Linked DNA regions of Arabidopsis thaliana. The protein of the gene in region 1 interacts with the protein of each later gene in a pairwise test. Each region holds a gene or a part of one and is shown in the gene's direction. Other genes may lie near its edges. The genes, in order: BRX, MYB3, MPK18 and AT3G16560.

The links.
Region 2: the proteins of BRX (region 1) and MYB3 interact in binary tests that used the Arabidopsis thaliana proteins (3 or more experiments, as listed by UniProt).
Region 3: the proteins of BRX (region 1) and MPK18 interact in binary tests that used the Arabidopsis thaliana proteins (3 or more experiments, as listed by UniProt).
Region 4: the proteins of BRX (region 1) and AT3G16560 interact in binary tests that used the Arabidopsis thaliana proteins (3 or more experiments, as listed by UniProt).

The regions. Positions count from the first base shown.
Region 1 is NC_003070.9:11,445,629-11,450,743, forward strand, and holds BRX (DZC (Disease resistance/zinc finger/chromosome condensation-like region) domain containing protein), read left to right. Parts: upstream 1-1,658; 5' UTR 1,659-1,692; coding exon 1,693-1,694; intron 1,695-2,135; coding exon 2,136-2,289; intron 2,290-3,197; coding exon 3,198-3,589; intron 3,590-3,686; coding exon 3,687-3,816; intron 3,817-3,918; coding exon 3,919-4,238; intron 4,239-4,346; coding exon 4,347-4,425; 3' UTR 4,426-4,564; downstream 4,565-5,115. Other genes in the region: NIP3;1 (NOD26-like intrinsic protein 3;1), read left to right, coding at 4,832-4,963. UniProt on the Arabidopsis thaliana protein: Acts as a regulator of cell proliferation and elongation in the root and shoot. Regulates roots architecture and primary root protophloem differentiation.
Region 2 is NC_003070.9:8,004,089-8,007,995, forward strand, and holds MYB3 (myb domain protein 3), read left to right. Parts: upstream 1-1,975; 5' UTR 1,976-2,200; coding exon 2,201-2,333; intron 2,334-2,334; exon of another isoform or gene 2,335-2,410; coding exon 2,411-2,540; exon of another isoform or gene 2,541-2,573; coding exon of another isoform or gene 2,574-2,620; coding exon 2,621-3,131; 3' UTR 3,132-3,372; downstream 3,373-3,907. Other genes in the region: AT1G22630 (SSUH2-like protein), read left to right, coding at 1-79.
Region 3 is NC_003070.9:19,969,783-19,976,091, reverse strand, and holds MPK18 (mitogen-activated protein kinase 18), read left to right. Parts: upstream 1-1,698; 5' UTR 1,699-1,933; coding exon 1,934-1,957; intron 1,958-2,165; coding exon 2,166-2,574; intron 2,575-2,670; coding exon 2,671-2,798; intron 2,799-2,888; coding exon 2,889-2,948; intron 2,949-3,284; coding exon 3,285-3,434; intron 3,435-3,522; coding exon 3,523-3,678; intron 3,679-3,797; coding exon 3,798-4,009; intron 4,010-4,143; coding exon 4,144-4,245; intron 4,246-4,451; coding exon 4,452-4,627; intron 4,628-4,700; coding exon 4,701-5,131; 3' UTR 5,132-5,758; downstream 5,759-6,309. UniProt on the Arabidopsis thaliana protein: Mitogen-activated protein kinase (MAPK) that is specifically regulated by PHS1 and MAPKKK20 and mediates signaling that regulates cortical microtubule functions, maybe through regulation of microtubule dynamic instability.
Region 4 is NC_003074.8:5,635,072-5,640,574, reverse strand, and holds AT3G16560 (Protein phosphatase 2C family protein), read left to right. Parts: upstream 1-1,776; 5' UTR 1,777-2,294; intron 2,295-2,467; exon of another isoform or gene 2,468-2,845; 5' UTR 2,846-2,872; coding exon 2,873-3,961; intron 3,962-4,042; coding exon 4,043-4,307; coding exon of another isoform or gene 4,308-4,327; exon of another isoform or gene 4,328-4,396; coding exon 4,397-4,524; 3' UTR 4,525-4,979; downstream 4,980-5,503. Other genes in the region: AT3G16565 (threonyl and alanyl tRNA synthetase second additional domain-containing protein), read left to right, coding at 1-44.

The DNA.
Region 1 (5,115 bases):
GGAGATTTTCTCAGTGAAGTTTATTACATAATCAGATTCGAAGAAGAAGACATTTCAGGTGAGTTTATAAAAATTCTCTTTTTTGAAGATTTTTCTCGGGAAAATAAGAAAACAGAGAGATTCGTTGCTCTGTTTCTGTTCTTCTGTAGAAACGATTAGTCACTGGTTTTTTTCCGATCGATCTTTTCAATACTATTTTTTCCCGGAAAAAAAAAGATTCAGAGATTTTTTTTTTTTTTTTTGCGTTACCTTTTTCTGCAAACATTTGTCACTTGATTGATTTGATTTAGACAGATTCGATTCGTCATTTTTTTCTGATTAATACCAAAATTTTCTCACTAAACCCAAATCAGAAACTTCACCGAAAAATGTGTATTCATTCTTCAATATTAATATAAATTTTCATTTTCATTCAAAAGTTTCCCGGTATTTATTGTTCTTTTACTTTTTTGAGAAAACGCCGAATTTTTTCTCAAAAACATTAAAAGCAAAATTGTAGTATCATAAATTGTTTTCGTCCTTTTGTAACACATTTATTACAATTACTGTCTGTAACACTACTACACTAATCTTCTCTGCAGCCATTGATGGTCTATTTATAGACGTAGACTCAGAACTAACCCCACTCGTGCCGGCTTCCTAAATAGACCAAAGCCTTCAAGAGGAAAATAAAGCAGAAGCTAGCTATCTAGTATCTCAATAATCTCAGATCATATCGCTTCATTTCTCAGATATCGAAACACAAAGGTGAGTGAGTAATAAACAAAACCCACTAATCAAAATTTTATTTTTTGGATTGTAATGATTAAGAAAAAAAGAAGAAGTCGTTTTCTGAGGTGAGAATAATAATGGTTTTTGTATCAGTTTTTGCCTTTGCTTTTGATATCAAAACAGAGTTTTTTTCGTGATTCGTGATTGTTTTTGCGATTTTATCTTTTACTTTGGATATAGTTTTAGTTTTCATGTCGCGACACGCTTTAGATTGGTCCATCATCACTCAAAACCCTAAAAATAGAAACCAATCTCTTTTTCTTTTTCTTAACACGTGACTGTCAAGATTCCATTTTCTTGTTATATTTTTCAATTTTGTTTTGCTTTTCTAGTGTTTCCAATTGTTTTCTTCTTTACTTATGTATTTGTCTTGATCGATGTTAAACACGCGGAATCAGAACATATTATTTGATTCTCTTGAGTCATCACAATAATCTGATTTTTTTTTAAAATGTCATAAATTTCGGCTACTGCAAAAAAAATGTAATTATTCTTCGAACTTTTGTTAGTTGAGGGATGGGTTTAGGATCTTTTGCTGCACACAAAAGTATTAAGTTATTCTTTAACAAAAAAAAAAAACTATTTAAAGTAGAATAAAGAAGCATTTGTCTCTATTATGATTGTCTTTAGAATATATTATTACTTGTAAATAATGTGTTTATACAATTTTCAGGTGTTTAGATTTGCACAATTAATTTTTAAAATATTAGTATTTCTTAACTGGGTCCTATTTTCTGATCCCCAAGCTCTCTTTCTTTTCTAGTTATAACATCTTTTTTTTTTTAATAAAGAAAAGTGTAACATGTAGTTTTAATATCTCTTTCAACACTTTTGTCTTTATCAAGATCTCTTCACTAATTTATACCCATCTTTTTTTATTCGCTCTTAAAATAGGTAACACAAATATCCGACCATGGTGTAATGTAAACTGTTTTTCTTTCTTTCCATTTTTAAAAAATGGGTTTAGTACTTGAAATATTTAGCATTGGTTCTTTATGAGTTAAACTACTAACCAGTCAAGTTACATTTTCTTTTTGTTATAACATGAGTAGTTGTTTCCTGACTAGAGATATGTCAACAACTTTGTCCTTTTGTGTTTGTGTTTTGCGTTATAAGAAAACGACAATTGAAATCCAAATACCCTTTTCTAGCTATATGTTCCTAACTTGTAACTAATGTTTACATGTGTACTACGATTACATAAGCTTTACCCGTGTTTTATGTCGGATTGTGAGAGTGAGCTCTACTTTAACGTTCTTAATTACTTTTTGTTTTGTTTTGTAGAGTATTATTATTGATTTGAGTAGAGTAGTGTGAGGTTTGGTTTGTGATGATGTTTAATAGAGTACTCTCTGGTTTTATAGGTCTGAAAAGGCAGAGAACAACTCAAAAAAGAGACCAAAAATGTTTTCTTGCATAGCTTGTACCAAAGCAGACGGAGGTGAAGAAGTCGAACATGGAGCGCGTGGAGGCACCACTCCCAATACTAAAGAAGCCGTCAAAAGCCTAACCATTCAGGTCTCTCTCTTCTTTCTTTGTTGATCCTTCTTCTGCTTTTATTTTCTTTCACTTTATTTTATTGCTTTTCTCTAATTGCCTTGCTCGTGAAACAAACAAAGACACAAACCCCAATTAACGTATCTTAGAGGACTTAAAAAGGGTCCATATATTTGACTATTATTCGTTTTCTTTACCAAAGAATAGAGTTTGAAGTCATTAGTATATAGAGGTTACTGTTGTTTAGGACAGAGATCTTACAATGAGGTAACTTCACTTCATTTTTTGGAATCTTTCACCAATCTCTCTTTAATAGTTTTCATGTCAGTGTTTGCTTCCTCTCTATGTGACTAGACATATGAAAGTCAAAAACAACTACTGAAACAATTTAAACCCTCATTGTACATATCCTTGAATTATGTAGCCAGTTGAATTATCAGGACTATCATTAAAGCTTATATTGGGGTCATACTTTGATGAATATTGCTAGTGAAGCTTGATCTAAATACCTTTCTCTCAAATAAGCTTTAGTGGATTCTTACCTAGACAAGGAAATAAAGAAAGGGTTTTTTGGGGTGGGGGTAACTATTTTAGTAAATCAAAAGAACATAAACAAAAGAAATAGTGGGCCGTTATGATTGTGGTGCAGGCTAAGAAGACAATATGAAGTTTCTTTTTTTAATACATATGTTTAATTATGTTAGATCTCATAGCTTTATTGTTGTTCTTTTAATAATGATCATAGTAGACCTCTTTTTACTTCATTGGGCTAAAAAGTATACTTAGTCATACTTAAAAAGGCTTGAAACTACCTATAATGTTTGTGTACCGTTATACTCAACATTCTTGTGTGTTTAAATGGATTACTTTGATAAACAAGATAAAGTTTTTGAATGTAATCGGTCTTTTTGGGTGCATATGTTACGCAGATTAAAGATATGGCTTTGAAATTCTCTGGTGCTTATAAACAATGCAAGCCATGCACTGGTTCCTCTAGTAGTCCCTTGAAGAAAGGACATAGATCATTTCCGGATTATGACAATGCCTCTGAAGGTGTTCCATACCCTTTCATGGGTGGAAGTGCTGGTTCAACTCCTGCTTGGGACTTCACAAACTCCTCTCATCATCCAGCTGGACGGTTAGAATCAAAGTTCACTTCAATATATGGAAATGATCGAGAATCTATCTCTGCACAGTCTTGTGATGTTGTACTGGATGATGATGGACCAAAAGAGTGGATGGCTCAAGTAGAACCTGGTGTTCATATCACATTTGCTTCTCTTCCCACTGGAGGAAATGATCTCAAACGGATCCGTTTCAGGTATTTGAACTACTCAAAACAATCTCTATATCTTCATGGCATTCAACGCTGAAACATGAGATAAAAACTAACAATTACTTGTGTCTTGTTTTGAAAGCCGAGAGATGTTTGATAAGTGGCAAGCTCAACGGTGGTGGGGTGAGAACTATGACAAGATCGTTGAGCTTTACAATGTACAGAGATTTAACCGCCAAGCTCTCCAAACGCCTGCAAGATCCGACGATCAGGTAAACACATATATCCTTAGATCCCTTAGTCTTTCTTCAGAACAGGATCTATATGAATCTTGTCTTTTAAGCCAGAGAGGGTAACACAAGTTTATATTTCAGTCACAGAGAGATTCAACGTACTCAAAGATGGATTCAGCAAGAGAAAGCAAAGACTGGACTCCAAGACACAATTTCAGACCTCCAGGATCTGTCCCGCATCACTTTTATGGCGGCTCTAGCAACTATGGACCAGGAAGTTATCATGGAGGACCACCGATGGATGCAGCAAGAACCACAACTTCTTCCAGAGATGATCCACCTTCCATGAGCAATGCTAGTGAAATGCAAGCTGAGTGGATTGAAGAGGACGAGCCTGGTGTTTACATTACCATCAGACAATTATCAGATGGGACTAGAGAGCTACGTCGAGTCAGATTCAGGTATAACAAAACGTCTAAAACTAAGCATTTGCTAATCATATACATTTTGAAAGTTGGTAATCATACCGTGACTAACCGGAATCTATGGTTTTGTGGTTTAATCAACAGCCGGGAACGGTTTGGGGAAGTGCATGCAAAGACATGGTGGGAGCAGAACAGAGAGAGAATACAAACACAGTACCTCTAAGCAAACGAAATATTATGAGTACCAAAATCTTTAATTAATTAATTAATCTCCTTCACATAACAACACAAACTACACACATTTTGCTTATCTTTTTGTTCATCTTAGCTTAACATCTATACATAAATTAAGTGTTTTGAAATATCATTTCTAATCAAAGCTGATTACATTTACATATAATTATAAGTCTATAACTATCGTGTAAACCATGTCGTGTGTTTTGTGACAAAGATAAAGAAGTCAACTATGAACCTAAAAGAATTTATCAACATGCGGTATAGACTATAGAATAAAAAAGTCAACTTTATTATTTGCTTATAAGTTATAACGAATACAAAGTAGAGTTGACCATTTGAGTTTTTAGATGAGAAAACCATAAACTTGGAGGAAAGTCACCATAGTTCCATCAATGGCTGAGATTTCTGATATTACTACTCAGACACAAACCGTTGTCTTGGACATCGAAAACTATCAATCCATTGATGATTCCCGGTCGTCGGATTTATCCGCTCCTCTTGTGTCCGTATCGTTCGTTCAAAAGGTGAGCCGCCTCTTTTATGTTGCGATATGGTTTCTTAATTTGTCGTGAAATATTTGTTAGTCCAAATCAAGATTTTATATTTCGTGTGATGTTTGCTATAGCCTATATGCAAGCTCAATCTTGACTTTGGTTCTAATTATTGGTAACTGATT
Region 2 (3,907 bases), 3.4 Mb from region 1:
TTGTCAAGGATTTGGTATGAAGAGTTGTCCTAAATGTGGCAAGGGAGGCTTGACGCCTGAACAGAGAGGGGAACGATAGACTTATACTATTTGTTTTTCCTACATAAGTTAATTTTGTGATACAAACATGTCTCTATTCCTATAACATTTCAGTCGTATAATTTGCATGTAAAAATAAAAATCATTAATAAATTATATTTTCGCTAGAATATTACAAAGCGTTTAGAAATGAGAAAGTGATATTAACAAAGTAAAAAAAAAAATGATATATTGTTAAGAACACATAAAATAGTCACACTTTCTGCTTACAAAACGGAAATGTAACTTTTAGTTGGCTTTTAACACGAAATATTAAGTTTTAGTTGCGCTTCGGACGTTATGTTTTTTTGAATCGTGTTTTCGCCATGTTCTTTTGTGCATAGGGAACCTTCGATTCCAATTCCATATCGATCAGTGTACCTCCGAAGAACCTTTCTTTGAACGTCGTAGTTCATGTTAGCCAATAGTCAGGAAGACTCAGAAGGTAGAAGTGTTGTACAACAATGTTTGGCATTTGGCGTAGCGTGATGAAATTAGAAGCTTGTTTGCGGTTAGCCATGTTGGGCTTTGCAAGTAATGGCCCATGACCAATACAATGCTATGAACAAAAGGCCCATCCGCTCATGACTCTTCTTATGTTTCTTTCTTAATTAAGCATAGATTACTAGCTTATGACAAAACATTGAAGATTGAACAGTAGTTAAATTACGTTGAATAGTAGTTAGATTGTACGGGGTTTTCTATATAAGAAAAAATGTTTACGATTGAGAAAGAAAAACAGAACTATAATAAACTTATGAAATTAAGCTTTAGATAGAATTACATCACTGTTGTAAAATTCAACTCCTCTTTAAATATTGAAAAGAATTCTGATAACTTCTGCAAAAGTGCAAAGGACTAAAATACGTATGGGGCGTGTGAGACAAAAACATTTAACATTTATACGATTCTATGCGACTAATTTATCTAATCGCCTGTTATAGCGACGTTATTCCAATTTCCAAGAAAAATCATCCCAATGTTGATTGATACCATTTAAGTACCTTACAAGTTACTAGTAAATTCATTTTAAAAATGTATTCTTTAATTGGACCGTCGTTACAATGTGAAATCCGAAAATAAAATATAAAAAAAAACTTAAGAGACACAACAGTAGAAGAAGGACCAAGTACACATGCCCAAACCCAATAATTCAGTTATCCAACTAATCTAAATAATATTCATGTTTTTATAATTGAAGAGACAAAGGAGAGAGGAATGTGATAAAATCATAAGAAAGGACACGTGGAGGTACGTGAAGGAAGTAGCGTGTGGAGAGAGTGATTGGAGAAGAGAGAGATGAAAAAAGACAGCTACCTACTCATCTTCCCAATCTATCTACCTACTTTCTCCCAGATCTACTTTTTTTTTGTTCTTTTTAACATTTTCCCAAAATTAGGTTTAAGTACTTTTTTTTGTTAATAATGCAGTAAACAATTGTTTAATTCAATAATGCAAAAAAAATTGGTTTAATTTTCCGCTAAACAAATTTATTGATATTAAAACGAGTTTACAAAATCGTTACAGAAACTAAGAAGTAAATTTGATGATGTTAAAAACACTTTATTCACTAACTGATTAGTGATTACTTAAACCGTTATTTAGTTATTTTCTCTTTTATAATCGATCTTTTTATACGAAAGTTACGCGTGACTATATTTTTTTATATGCAATAAGAATGGTTAAAAACAGTACATGTTGCAATGAATTGTGGAATTTGTAAAATGATTATGATATTTTTTTTGAGCAGATGAGATGATTCTAAAGAGCCAAAAAGTCAATAACCAAAACCGTACGATCTACATCTCAGAAAACAAAAAACAAAAAAAGTTAGGAAACTCCACCCACGTTCCTCCTGTGAGTGTACTACAATCAAATTTGTGTTTTCTGGTTGGTGTTACAATATTCTTTAGGCACAAAAAAACGAACACATCATTTCATTTGTTAGATACATTTTTATTTTTAACTTTGGTATTAAAATAATGTTAGGTAGTTATTATAAATAACATTCAAAACGAAAACACCATCCTACAGGAACTCTCTTCCTTGCAAAAAAAATAAAACACTATTTCCTCCAAATACACGTAGAGAGATACATATATACATATAGAGATCAACAAAGATGGGAAGATCACCATGCTGCGAGAAAGCTCACATGAACAAAGGAGCTTGGACTAAAGAAGAAGATCAGCTTCTTGTTGATTACATCCGTAAACACGGTGAAGGTTGCTGGCGATCTCTCCCTCGCGCCGCTGGTACTTATTCATACATCCTCTGTTTCTTTATATTTACAGAGAGGTAAAGATTTGATTTTTGATTGAACTTTGTGCAGGATTACAAAGATGTGGTAAGAGTTGTAGATTGAGATGGATGAATTATCTAAGACCAGATCTCAAAAGAGGCAATTTTACTGAAGAAGAAGATGAACTCATCATCAAGCTCCATAGCTTGCTCGGTAACAAGTTAGTCTCTTTCTCTCACACTTTTTTAAGAATATGATTATATTTGTGAAAGATTCTGAAACTTTGTGTTGTTGTTATAGATGGTCTTTAATAGCTGGGAGATTACCAGGAAGAACAGATAACGAGATCAAGAACTATTGGAACACTCATATCAAGAGGAAGCTTCTCAGCCGTGGGATTGATCCAAACTCTCACCGTCTGATCAACGAATCCGTCGTGTCTCCGTCGTCTCTTCAAAACGATGTCGTTGAGACTATACATCTTGATTTCTCTGGACCGGTTAAACCGGAACCGGTGCGTGAAGAGATTGGTATGGTTAATAATTGTGAGAGTAGTGGAACGACGTCGGAGAAGGATTATGGGAACGAGGAAGATTGGGTGTTGAATTTGGAACTCTCTGTTGGACCGAGTTATCGGTACGAGTCGACTCGGAAAGTGAGTGTTGTTGACTCGGCTGAGTCGACTCGACGGTGGGGTTCCGAGTTGTTTGGAGCTCATGAGAGTGATGCGGTGTGTTTGTGTTGTCGGATTGGGTTGTTTCGTAATGAGTCGTGTCGGAATTGTCGGGTTTCTGATGTTAGAACTCATTAGAGAGTCAATCGAGAATTCTTTAGGAATCTTTTTATATATTTAGATCGTCAATTGTGTTTTTTTTTTGTTCACATTTGTTATGTAACATCAAGTAAGAAACTAGCATAATTATTTGATGGCAAAGCCAAAAGATTGTGCTCAAAGAAATTTATAAAAACAACAATTAGGGCATGTTGTACTTGCAGATGCTAAAAAACGGTAATTTTTATAAATGTTATAATTTCATAATCTAGCAAACTAATTAATTTAATACTACATTTTATTTGTGATTAATCTTGTTATATGATATACGTCATATGTTTTAAGAGTTTTTTTTGGTTTCAAATTTCTATGTAGAATTAATGTTTTCATTTTTTAATTTACGTATGTCAATTAAATTCAGTGAAATGTAAATTTTAATGAAATTACCAAATTCAAGCGATGAAATCATGAAATCACATTTTTTTGCGTCACAAATAGTTTCTGAAAATATGTAATAATTCCAAGCCATGTAACTTAAAAATGTGGAGACAATATATAATTCGATGTCAAATTTCACCTATTTGAAGTGTTCCTATTAATTAGATTATACTATTGAATGAGTCATTTCAAGCAGATAATACGCAGAGCAACTTTGATGCAGACGTTAAAACCATACCTAAATGATGTTTGGTTTGGTGTCGTCACTTTTTGTATGTGCTTTTTAGTTCTTGCCTATTTTTTTGGCTATTCGCATGTCTTCTCTTCATTTTTTTTTGATTTTAACATACTAATCCACTTACATTTTGAATTTCAAA
Region 3 (6,309 bases), 8.5 Mb from region 1:
CACATTTACACATTATATTTTGGTTTATTATTAGGATGCATTGTCTTTTATTCATCAACATTATTATATTTGCACTAATAATATAGAGTTGTTGGCAACCAAAAGTTAAGAAAACAATAATATATAGTTGTGCACAAATTATCATTATTTATGGGTGATCCCTTTTTTCTTCTATCATTATATATGGTTCATGGAATTTTAATAAGATGTAACTCAAATAAATAAACAAACAAAATAAATCTGCTTGGTGGAGATATTTTGGCTCCTCCAGTCAAAACTCTAAAACATACATACACGAAAAGCATGATTCATGTGATGAATGGTAATATTGTGTCCACTCTGTTGAATTCTGACTCATGATTATATATATATATATATATATCTTCGAATTATTAAACTTGCAATTCAAAATATTATATATATCATTTTGAAAAACCATTAAAACTATTTTAAAAATAGATATGCTGGTTATATATATTATGCAGAGCCTGGTCTAAATAGATAGAACCAGTCAACCATCATTTATATTTATCTTTGGCCGATAATTATTTTAAAATGCGCACTTAGTCAAAAGAGAGTAAAATTATGATTTTAAAACCGAAAGTAGAAGAAAATGAAAAGCAATGAAATATGCAAAAAGGATCAACTTTAGTTATAAGTTATAACGCCTTAAAATATTGACAATAAATTGACACATGCACCACCTACATCGTCGTATAGTGTGAAATTATATGGAGTATGATAATTTGAAATTATGATATTTTGTACTTTAGATAATGAACCAACTTTGGATTTGAATGCCTCAGATACAAATGAATAATAAGATGTTGGATTTGTTTTAATCAAGATCAGTTATAATATTATCATAATCTTCACCTTTTTGTGGATTTGCCCCTATTGTGATAAACTTTTAATATGAGCCAGACACTAAATATGTTGGTCTTTTCAATAAATACAAAAGCCAAATTGTGTAAATTGACATGTGAATATTAGTTTCACACGAATTGCAAAATTATTAATCTATTTATTTTATTTTATTTTCTATCAAATACTAAGTCATATACCAATGAGGATGGCAGTTTTTTTTTTTCTTTTGATTTTGTTTTTATCATCCCATAGTATCAAGCAAACAACTTGACACTTGGAAGGTCTTTTTCTCAAGGTTAGTTGATTTACATGGAATAAATGTTCATCAAAGATGGTATTTTATCCTAATATATTAATCGTGTATCGTCTTTACCAAAATAAATTAAAATCTAAGACAAATATCCTTCAACAATATTTATTTACATATGAATTAGTCAATTGTATATAGATTTTTCAATCTTAAAAATTTAAATCAAGGAATATAATAAGCAAAATTGAGATAATGTTAATAATATTCCTTTCAGTGGTACGAGAAATACTATCACGTGGGGGTTAAATTGACCACTTATCAAAAAGAATGGTTAGAATCAAAACAAAATTAAGATAGGGGTCAAAATCGGAATTTAAGAAAAATAAAACGGTCCAAGTCCAGCAACAGGTGTCTAAACCATTGGGTCATTTTCCAAAAAGGTCGTCCACAGACCACAGTGGGAGAAAACCAATATTTACTTTACCCTCAAATGTTGTCTAAAACTACGAAACTGCCACTATCTGGGATTTGTCACACCCGTACGCAATAAGTACCACGAGAAATTGCTAGAATTAGAAATTATTTTTATTCAAATTTAGAAAAAATATCTCAAATTCGGTATTTTTAAAATCCTCTCTCGTCTTCTTCTTCTTCGATCGCTGGATCTAGGTTTTGCTCTTCTCTGTATCGTCTTCTTCACAGACTGGGCTTGATTTTGAGTTCTTCTAGTTTTCGGATTCTTAGCAATCTAGGTTTTTTTTTTTTTTTTACTTTTCGAAAAGCCGATCCAGATTTTTGATAATTTTGAAGAAGAAGATGCAACAAAATCAAGTGAAGAAGGTTCGCTTCTTGCTCTCTATCTCTCTCAATCATGCTTTGATTCTAAATGTGGGAAACAGAGGATAAAGTCTTATCCTTTTACAAATTTAAAGACAAAAAAAATAAAATCTTTCCTTTTTCAATTGCAATTAGGTTTGGTTTTGTTGCATGAGCATAAATAAGATGTGTGGATAAAGTTTGTGTTTTGTCTACTTTTGTGATTCACTAGGGCACGAAAGAGATGGAGTTTTTCACAGAGTATGGTGATGCAAACAGATATAGGATTCTGGAAGTTATTGGTAAAGGAAGCTATGGAGTTGTGTGTGCAGCTATTGATACACATACTGGAGAGAAAGTTGCTATTAAGAAGATTAATGATGTCTTTGAACATATTTCTGATGCGCTTCGTATTCTCCGTGAAGTGAAGCTTCTTCGGCTTTTACGGCATCCTGATATTGTGGAGATCAAAAGCATTATGCTGCCTCCTTCTAAGAGAGAGTTTAAAGATATCTATGTTGTGTTTGAGCTCATGGAATCAGATCTTCATCAAGTTATTAAAGCTAATGATGATTTGACTCGTGAACACCACCAGTTTTTCCTTTATCAGATGCTTCGTGCTTTAAAGTTCATGCATACAGGTGTGATTCGTTTCATTGTTTCAGACCTGTGAATCTTGGCAGCATGTTTTGTATTTTTTCTGGTTGTAACTTACTGTTATCCTTTTGTTCATGCAGCTAATGTTTATCACCGTGATCTTAAGCCAAAGAATATACTTGCAAACGCAAATTGCAAGTTGAAAGTTTGTGACTTTGGATTGGCTAGAGTAGCGTTTAATGATACTCCTACGACAGTCTTTTGGACGGTTAGTAGCCTCGAGGAGGAGACCTTTTGTTTGTTAGCCGTTAATTTGTGTGTTTGATTTTTCTCTCTGACTCATTTAATCGCAATGCAGGACTATGTTGCCACAAGATGGTATAGAGCACCTGAGCTCTGTGGATCATTCTTTTCGAAGGTAGGTGTTACTGTGGATTTCTTCTATGCATTCTAATTGGCTATGCTTAGGTCTTATGAACAGATTAGTCTTCTTTAGTGTAGAATATATGCAGATTAGTGTTAATAGCTGATATTTGATGTTACTTGTATAAGTATAGAGTTGTGCCCCAGTGGGATATTAAAATAATTCTTGTTCAGGGATGACTTGAACTCTCCCCGAAGTTGAAAATCTATGAATCAGGTAACCTTGTATCAGGTTATGTTCATTGAGTGGTTTCTTTTGCATCTGCAACTTCATATTCATGGATTTTGTTTTTTCATCATAATCTGATTTACAGTCAAAATTATTCTGCAGTACACTCCAGCTATCGACGTTTGGAGCATTGGCTGCATCTTTGCAGAGGTACTAACAGGGAAGCCATTGTTTCCGGGAAAAAGTGTTGTCCATCAGTTGGAGTTGATTACTGATCTTCTTGGCACACCAAAATCAGAAACAATTTCTGGAGTATGATCCGTTTTTCTTCTTCACATTAATTTCTGGAGTACGTATATATATTGAACTGTATAGCTAAACATTTATTTCTCTGATGCAGGTTCGTAATGATAAAGCTAGAAAATACTTGACTGAAATGAGGAAGAAAAATCCTGTCACCTTCTCGCAAAAATTTTCCAAAGCAGATCCATTAGCACTCCGTCTTTTGCAGAGGCTGTTGGCTTTCGATCCAAAGGATCGACCGACTCCTGCAGAGGTCTCTTTTCTGTCTTTTTCACTTTGTAATTAGATTCTTCTTCGGTCCTCTTTGTAAAGCTGCCTTGCGTCTTGTGTGTATCTCTCTGCTTACTTTGCTATCTTTTTGTTTTTCGATAGGCATTAGCTGATCCTTACTTCAAGGGTCTTTCTAAGATTGAAAGAGAACCTTCAAGTCAGCAAATCTCGAAAATGGAGTTTGAATTTGAGAGGCGAAGGTTGACAAAGGACGACATTAGAGAACTAATATACAGAGAAATACTGGAGTACCATCCTCAGTTGCTCAAGGACTATATGAGCGGATCTGAGGGGTCTAATTTTGTATATCCTAGGTTTGAATTTCTTCCTACCTTTTATTATTATTTACCAAATGAAACATTTCTTGTTTCTTTCTCCCGTTGAATTTATGTCCAATCGCGTACCTCTGCCTGGCTTTTTATTCATGTTTTTACTTTTTCACTTGCAGCGCCATTGGACATCTTAGACAGCAGTTCACTTACTTAGAGGAAAATAGCAGTAGAAATGGGCCGGTCATACCTCTCGAGAGGAAACACGCATCACTACCGCGGTATGTTTTCTCATTCTTTATATACAAGTCGACTGTAGGGAATATGCTTATTCTTTTGTTCTTTCTTCTGCTACTGCTTAGCATTTGTGAAGCATATGGTCGAAGGCCTCAAGCAAACTTTCATATGTTCTCTACTCTTCTAATTCTAAAAACTTTCATATGTTCTCTACTCTTCTAATTCTAATAGATATGATTGTTTTCCACAGGTCTACGGTTCACTCAACTGTAGTCCATTCCACCTCGCAACCCAACTTGGGTGCAACAGATAGTAGACGTGTTTCTTTCGAGCCTTCAAAAAATGGAGCTTCTTCTGCAGGACATCCATCAACTTCCGCGTATCCTACTAAATCCATCGGACCTCCACCAAGAGTTCCACCATCAGGTCTCAATCATATCTCCAAATATTATTTCCTAAAGTTAGAAACTTCAACTAACTTTCACCCTATGTTTTACAGGTAGACCAGGTCGTGTTGTGGAATCATCTGTATCTTATGAGAATGGCAGGAACCTCAAAGAAGCTTATTTCAGAAGCGCGGTTTCATCTCCTCATTGCTACTTCCGACCAAACACCATGACAAACCCGGAGAACCGCAACATAGAAGCTTCGTCTTTTCCACCAAAGCCACAAAATCCTGTCCACCAATTCAGTCCCACTGAGCCACCAGCTGCTACAACTAACCAAGCAGACGTTGAGACTATGAACCACCCAAACCCTTACTTTCAACCACAGCTCCCGAAGACAGATCAATTAAACAACAACACACATATGGCCATTGATGCTAAGCTGTTGCAGGCACAATCACAGTTTGGTCCAGCAGGAGCTGCAGCGGTTGCAGTAGCAGCACACCGGAACATAGGCACAATTAGTTACAGCGCAGCATCATAGACAACACTTCAGACAGATCTTTAACCACCACATCTTCCTCCACCAGGTGATTCTCTAGTTTTTATGTAAGTATTATTCAGTCCAGGCTCTGATATGAACTACGTTGCAATGATATAAGAAAGACTTTTATTTAGTTGTAACTCTCCAGAACAAGATCGCCTTGGATTAGTCTGATTGCGGGTCAGTCCCGGTTATTGTTTCGGTTATCTTGTTGGCTCCATAATCTTTGAATTTGCCATAAGCGTAGTTCACCGTAGAGAAGAATATCGTGGTGATTATATACTTCTTAAACTTCTTAATCGGTCCCATTAGTCTTTATTGTTCTTCAACAAAAAAAGGAATCTCTTTGGTTATTGGAAAATATGGTCTTGATTGGTTAATATAGACAACATTATGCCGAAGAATGTGGAAGTAACAAAATAAAACATTGGTCCTTAGATTTTTCTTCTGTAAACCACTCTTTCTCAGATTATATAATTAGTCAATTTTATTCAATGGTTACAAAAAGAAAAAAAAAAACTTGCCAATGAAAAAAAGGAATGCTCTTGACCTCAAGACTCATCATGGTTAACAATGAAATTCGCCTTAACTTCGAAATTTTGACGCCGTTGAAATGTTTATAATTTACCCGCCAAGTTTGTAGGCCTGAGTTTAGCCCATTAAAGGTAATATTAGGCGTCCATTAATCATAACGAATATCACTTTCTCAATTTAACAAGTCATGAGAAAGTGTACACATTTGATCTATTTAATATTTATTAACCAAAAAGGAAGCAAATCAATTATTTCGTTACGTGACGGTGGCATTAAGCATCTTGCATTGAATGATCCGTTATATATAATCTCAGGTTTTTTTTGGGTTGAAATGATGATATTAAATTTTAGGTTGACATGTACTTATCTTTGTAATCAACTAATTAAATATTTGAACTGACATGTCTACGTTATATCATAAATAAACCAGGTGTTTTAATTAAATACCACGATTAACCTTCTAAAATAAGGAAAATCATATTTTATTCGTCAATCACTATAATTTGGAAAACGATGCAATATATTTATTTCTTTCTTTATACACATACTTAATTAATTATCAAAATTTCATTCTATTTTAATTGATCTGAAATGTCCTAATTTAGTAGAGAGCTAATAAATAGACTCACATTTATGTTGAAAAA
Region 4 (5,503 bases), on another chromosome or scaffold:
CAAAGAAAGGAATGACGAAAGTTTTCTACACCATTGCATCTTGAAACTCTTATGGGTTCCAGTTTCTATACGGTAGATATACAATAAGTCAAGGTAATCCTCATCACTCACTTCGTGTTGATACCGTTATTTCATAACGATATATATAAGTAGTCCCATTAGTTCTTAGTCTTAAACCGCCGTAGTTTTTACTGTCAGTCCCTGAACAATCCTTGGTTATAATTAGTCCCTCGTCTATACATAGTACTGTCTCGATAAGATGTCCGCAAAGAAAATAATCCCAGGTTATGTGATTTAAGAGACTTAGGAGCTTTCATTAGATACACATAACACAACAGCTTGCAGAAATTGTGTAATGATTATTGAAAAATCGCGGTGATAAAGACAAACCGAGATCTATCCTATTCATTGTAAACTGCCAAAAACCGGTACGTAAGCTAAATGGAAATTATAGAATTGTCATCAAATGTCATTTTCAGGAAGGGAATGATAGTGAGGACGACTGTTTTCATCAGTTGGCTTCAACAGCAAGCAGCTTCTCCTGTGCCTCAACAGCCACAAATCAGTATTTGTGGGTATTTATCAATCTCTTAAACGACTCTCTCTATTATTGATAAGTCGTATATGATATATGATATTGATGTGATATTTTCTTCCACTCAGCCTCTTAATTAGTATTAATATATTGACTCTTGGTATTGTAGAATCGTACCGGTCATTTGGTCCTAGATTTTTATTCATGCATCGGTTTGATTTACTTAGTATACTTACTAATTAACCTTAGGTAGGCAAAAACATTCATGTATGCGATCAACGGTTTTAAAAACGTAAATTTTGTTTTTCCAAACCGAATCAATCGGTGAGTTTTTGATGAATAACACCGGTTAAGGCTGTACCGGTCACGGTTTATGGGACCTTCTGAATATGCAAAAAATCGAAATTGATTTTTTCAGGTGTGAAAGCTATAAGCTAGATTATTAGCTCAATTCACCAAGTCAATATTCGAGATAAAAAAAAATGGTACAAAACTATAGACGTTTTTCATTGCGTCTTTAGCTATTGTTTAATACTTTTCGTGTTGCTTCTTGATATGATTTAACAACTTTCGATTATTAAACTCTATAATATATGGTGAGAGATGCAAAATGTTAGATCTGCTCCCTTCTTTAACGTCATGCAACCTAACTCTTAAACATTCTCGATTTTTTGCTTACAGCTTAAATTATTTATTTGTATCTACTTATTAATTTACTTCCTCACGTCTCTGTTTGCGGCAACTATGATGGTACGCTACGTCGACATCTAGTACTAGCCTAGTACTCAAAAGATCAGATTTTGTAAAACGTCACCATGTATTTTTGGGTTATTTTATCCTGTTGTCCGTAAAAAATAAATTGCATAGTAAATTACCACTCTGAATTCGATCAGAAGATATTACACGATTACATCTATCACAAATAAATCATATTATTTCTGAAAAAGATTCATAGTGAAGATATGGGTAAATTTAATGTTCCTTGTAAGCCCTTCTTGCCAAATTATAATCGTATTATATTGGTTCTTTGAGCAGTCCAAGAAAATAATAGAGCTAGAGATGAATAAAATATAACATTACCGGTAGAGATCTGAGGATGACATCATCAGGATAAAATGTCAACTACACACACTTATTGCCTTGAATTGTTGACCCTATCTTCGTTTTTCACTTTCGTCGATAGATTTTTCTATTTACTCGTTTAATTAAATATCTTGTTGATCATTTCTTTCTGACGAGTTATGAATTTTTGCTCTGTAGATAGACATTTTTTCTTCTACTTATGCAACACCACCCAAAACAAAAGATTCTAATTTTTCTACCAAAAATATCTGAAAGTATCTTAGCAAGAAAATTTCAGAATACCCAAATTGACCTCTGTAGTTTCAACCAAGATACTAATAAAAAAACTAAGCATTATCATTGTTTTTGGTAAAAAATTTAAAAGATGTACAAAAAAAGAAGAAGCTGAAAAAGCAACGAATCAAAAACGAAAAAGACAGAGAGAAGAAAAGTGTGAAAAAACATTATAAAGGAGAGGGCTTTCGATTATATAATAAACACTACCAAAATTAGCAAACAAAAAACATTCACTCGTTAACTCTTCTCCTCCATCCAATTTCACTTTCTCTCACTCATTTTTATTCGTCGTCGTCGTCTCCTCTGATTTGTTCTTTTTTCTCTAAATTCGCTTCGCTTCTTCTCAGTTCTACGAATCTTCGATTCTCTTTGGTTTTCTCCATCCCCGTATACGTTTAAGGTAAACCCATTTCTCTCATCATCAATAACATCCCCAATGTCTCGTTCCGATAATCTGTTTTATTTAATCTTTTCAATTTGGTTTGCGAGTTTTGATTTATCTTATCAATGGAATTTTTGATATATCCATATATTGTTGTAATCCATATAGATATGAACACATGTCACGGTGAATACTTTGATGATACCAAATCTATAAGTTTCTCTGTGTTTTCTGGGTTTTTAGTTAGTTTATCTCTGTATAAACATTCTATCTGAAACATTTCCCAACAACTTCTGTGGTCTGCATTTAATGGCCTCCTATGAAAAATATCATTTTTTTCTTAACTCTCACGTTTAACTTATGTAACTGTTCGTTACCTTGGCCCCATCTATCTTCACTTTCGATATGTGCTTAGACTCTCACCACGTATTTTGTCTCTAAGGTCATTAAAGCAGCTAACTTTTTTGAAGTGTGAGGTTTTTGTATTAGTCTTAAGATTTCATTAGGATTGTTCAAGTTAAAAAAAGGACTAAACTTTATGGTTTTGTTGTGGATTTTTGTTGTTTCAGAACATTGCAAGAAAGTGAAGAAAAAAAATGCAGGAAGGGACTGATCCGTATGGTGAGATTGAGATAAGTTTTGGTTATCAATGCAATAATAAGAAGATAGGAATCCCTGAAGATAAAATTGCTGATGGTCGTGAGGTTCTTGGTGGGTTTAGGCTACAAAAGACTAGCAGTTTCTCTTGTTTATCAGGAGCTGCTTTAAGTGGAAACCCCACTTTAGCCAATACTAATATCTGCAATGGAGTCATTGGTTCTGAGATATTGCCGTCTCTGGATTCTCCGAAATCTTTCAGGAAAGTTCCGTCTTCGCCTGCGCTTTCGAAGCTTGATATACTCTCTCCTTCTCTCCATGGAAGTATGGTGAGTCTAAGCTGCAGCTCGTCTACTAGTCCGAGTCCTCCTGAGCCTGAATCTTGTTACTTGACGTCAATGAGTTCTCCTTCTTCTGTTAATGAAGGGTTTCTTCTCTCTGCTATGGAAGTTCAAGTTGCGGGTGGTGCTGCAGGGGAAGATAGAGTTCAAGCTGTTTGCTCTGAGGAGAATGGTTGGTTGTTTTGCGCTATCTATGATGGATTCAACGGAAGAGATGCTGCTGATTTCTTGGCATGTACTTTATATGAGTCCATTGTGTTTCATCTTCAGTTGCTTGATCGTCAAATGAAGCAAACAAAGTCCGATGATGATGGCGAAAAGTTGGAATTGTTATCAAATATAAGTAATGTAGATTACTCTTCCACTGATTTGTTCAGGCAAGGAGTACTAGATTGCTTGAACCGTGCGCTTTTTCAGGCGGAAACCGATTTCCTAAGGATGGTTGAGCAAGAAATGGAAGAAAGACCGGATTTAGTATCCGTTGGATCTTGTGTTTTGGTCACTCTCCTGGTTGGGAAGGATCTATACGTCCTTAATCTTGGTGATAGCAGAGCTGTTCTAGCGACCTACAATGGTAATAAGAAGCTGCAAGCTGTTCAGCTCACAGAGGATCATACAGTTGATAACGAAGTCGAAGAAGCTAGACTCTTAAGTGAGCATCTTGATGATCCTAAGATCGTTATTGGTGGGAAAATCAAAGGAAAGCTTAAAGTTACTCGTGCTCTCGGAGTTGGTTACTTGAAGAAGGTATTAGTATTATTCTTTTAAGTTATGAGTTTTATACTTGAAAGAAAAAGTATCAAGTAGCTCTTCTCTATTAACTTGCAGGAGAAACTAAATGATGCACTCATGGGGATCCTCCGCGTTCGTAACCTTTTGAGCCCGCCTTATGTTTCAGTGGAACCATCGATGAGAGTTCACAAGATAACGGAATCAGATCACTTTGTTATAGTTGCAAGCGATGGTTTGTTTGATTTCTTCAGCAACGAGGAAGCGATTGGGCTCGTCCATTCCTTCGTTTCTAGTAATCCTTCTGGTGATCCAGCAAAGTTTCTGCTTGAACGTCTTGTAGCTAAAGCTGCTGCTCGTGCTGGTAAGATGCTTTTTTGTTAATGTTTACTTCACAAAATGTGTGCAGACTTCATGATCTACTATATGACAAAAGAAAACACTTTGATGTAGGCTTTACCTTGGAAGAATTGACGAATGTTCCGGCTGGTAGGAGAAGGAGATATCATGACGATGTGACTATAATGGTAATCACTCTAGGTACCGATCAACGTACCTCAAAAGCTTCTACGTTCGTGTGATTTTGATGATGATGGCGACAAATGTTGGATTGGTAAAATTGTAATTAGTCTCACTGATCTTCTTTTAGACTTTGGAACTGATCATCAGTTTTTCAATTCTTTGGAACTGGTATAATATTATTTCATGTATAGTCCGTATATATATATCATTGTAGTAGTCTTAGTTGCGAGCCTAGAATTCATCAGTTTGTCTCAGCCTGAGTCATATGTTCTGTTTTTTATTTTTTTGGGCTTTTGGGTGTTTACTTGGTTTGGTTTATTACCTTGGATTTTAAGTTCTAACATAGACTGAATCGGTTTTGTCAATGGGCTAACTACTAGTGAAATAATGTGGGTGGCCTACGATGATCTTTAATCATGTGACACACTATAAGCACCTTATTGTTCACAACTTTATATGTCTTACGTATATTTGTAAAATTGACTCAATGGTTACAAACATTTTGGTTAGTTCGAAGTGAAAGTGTGTTGATCATCAATGTTTGAGATAGTAAGTCTATATATTATCATCTTACAATGGTAATAAACCTAAGAAAACAGAGACATGAACAAGATTCAAGAAAATCCGATAAAATTATTAGGCTTGCAATATGAACCTAAAGGAACGGGATAAAATTGGGAGGATAAGCACAGTAACAACACCGGGAAAACAAAAACCCAGTCAATTTGAATCTTCTTGAACAAATCTCCCCTCAAAAATATAGATGCAAGCCGTTCGACTTTCATCGTCACCACAACACATAATTAGGGTGGTCTTGTCATAGATAAAGTAACTAATGCCACAAAATTTTGGCAAGTTACTTGATGGAAAAGTCAACAAGCTAATCCACACAACTTCCTCTCCATACATCAAAATAAGACATAAAAATTTAAGGACTAATATGATAGAATAATATATTAGTAAGAGTATCTGTAAGACATAAATATTTGTAAGGACCAAAATGAATAAAAAATGAAACCTCAAATTTTAAGGTTTTGA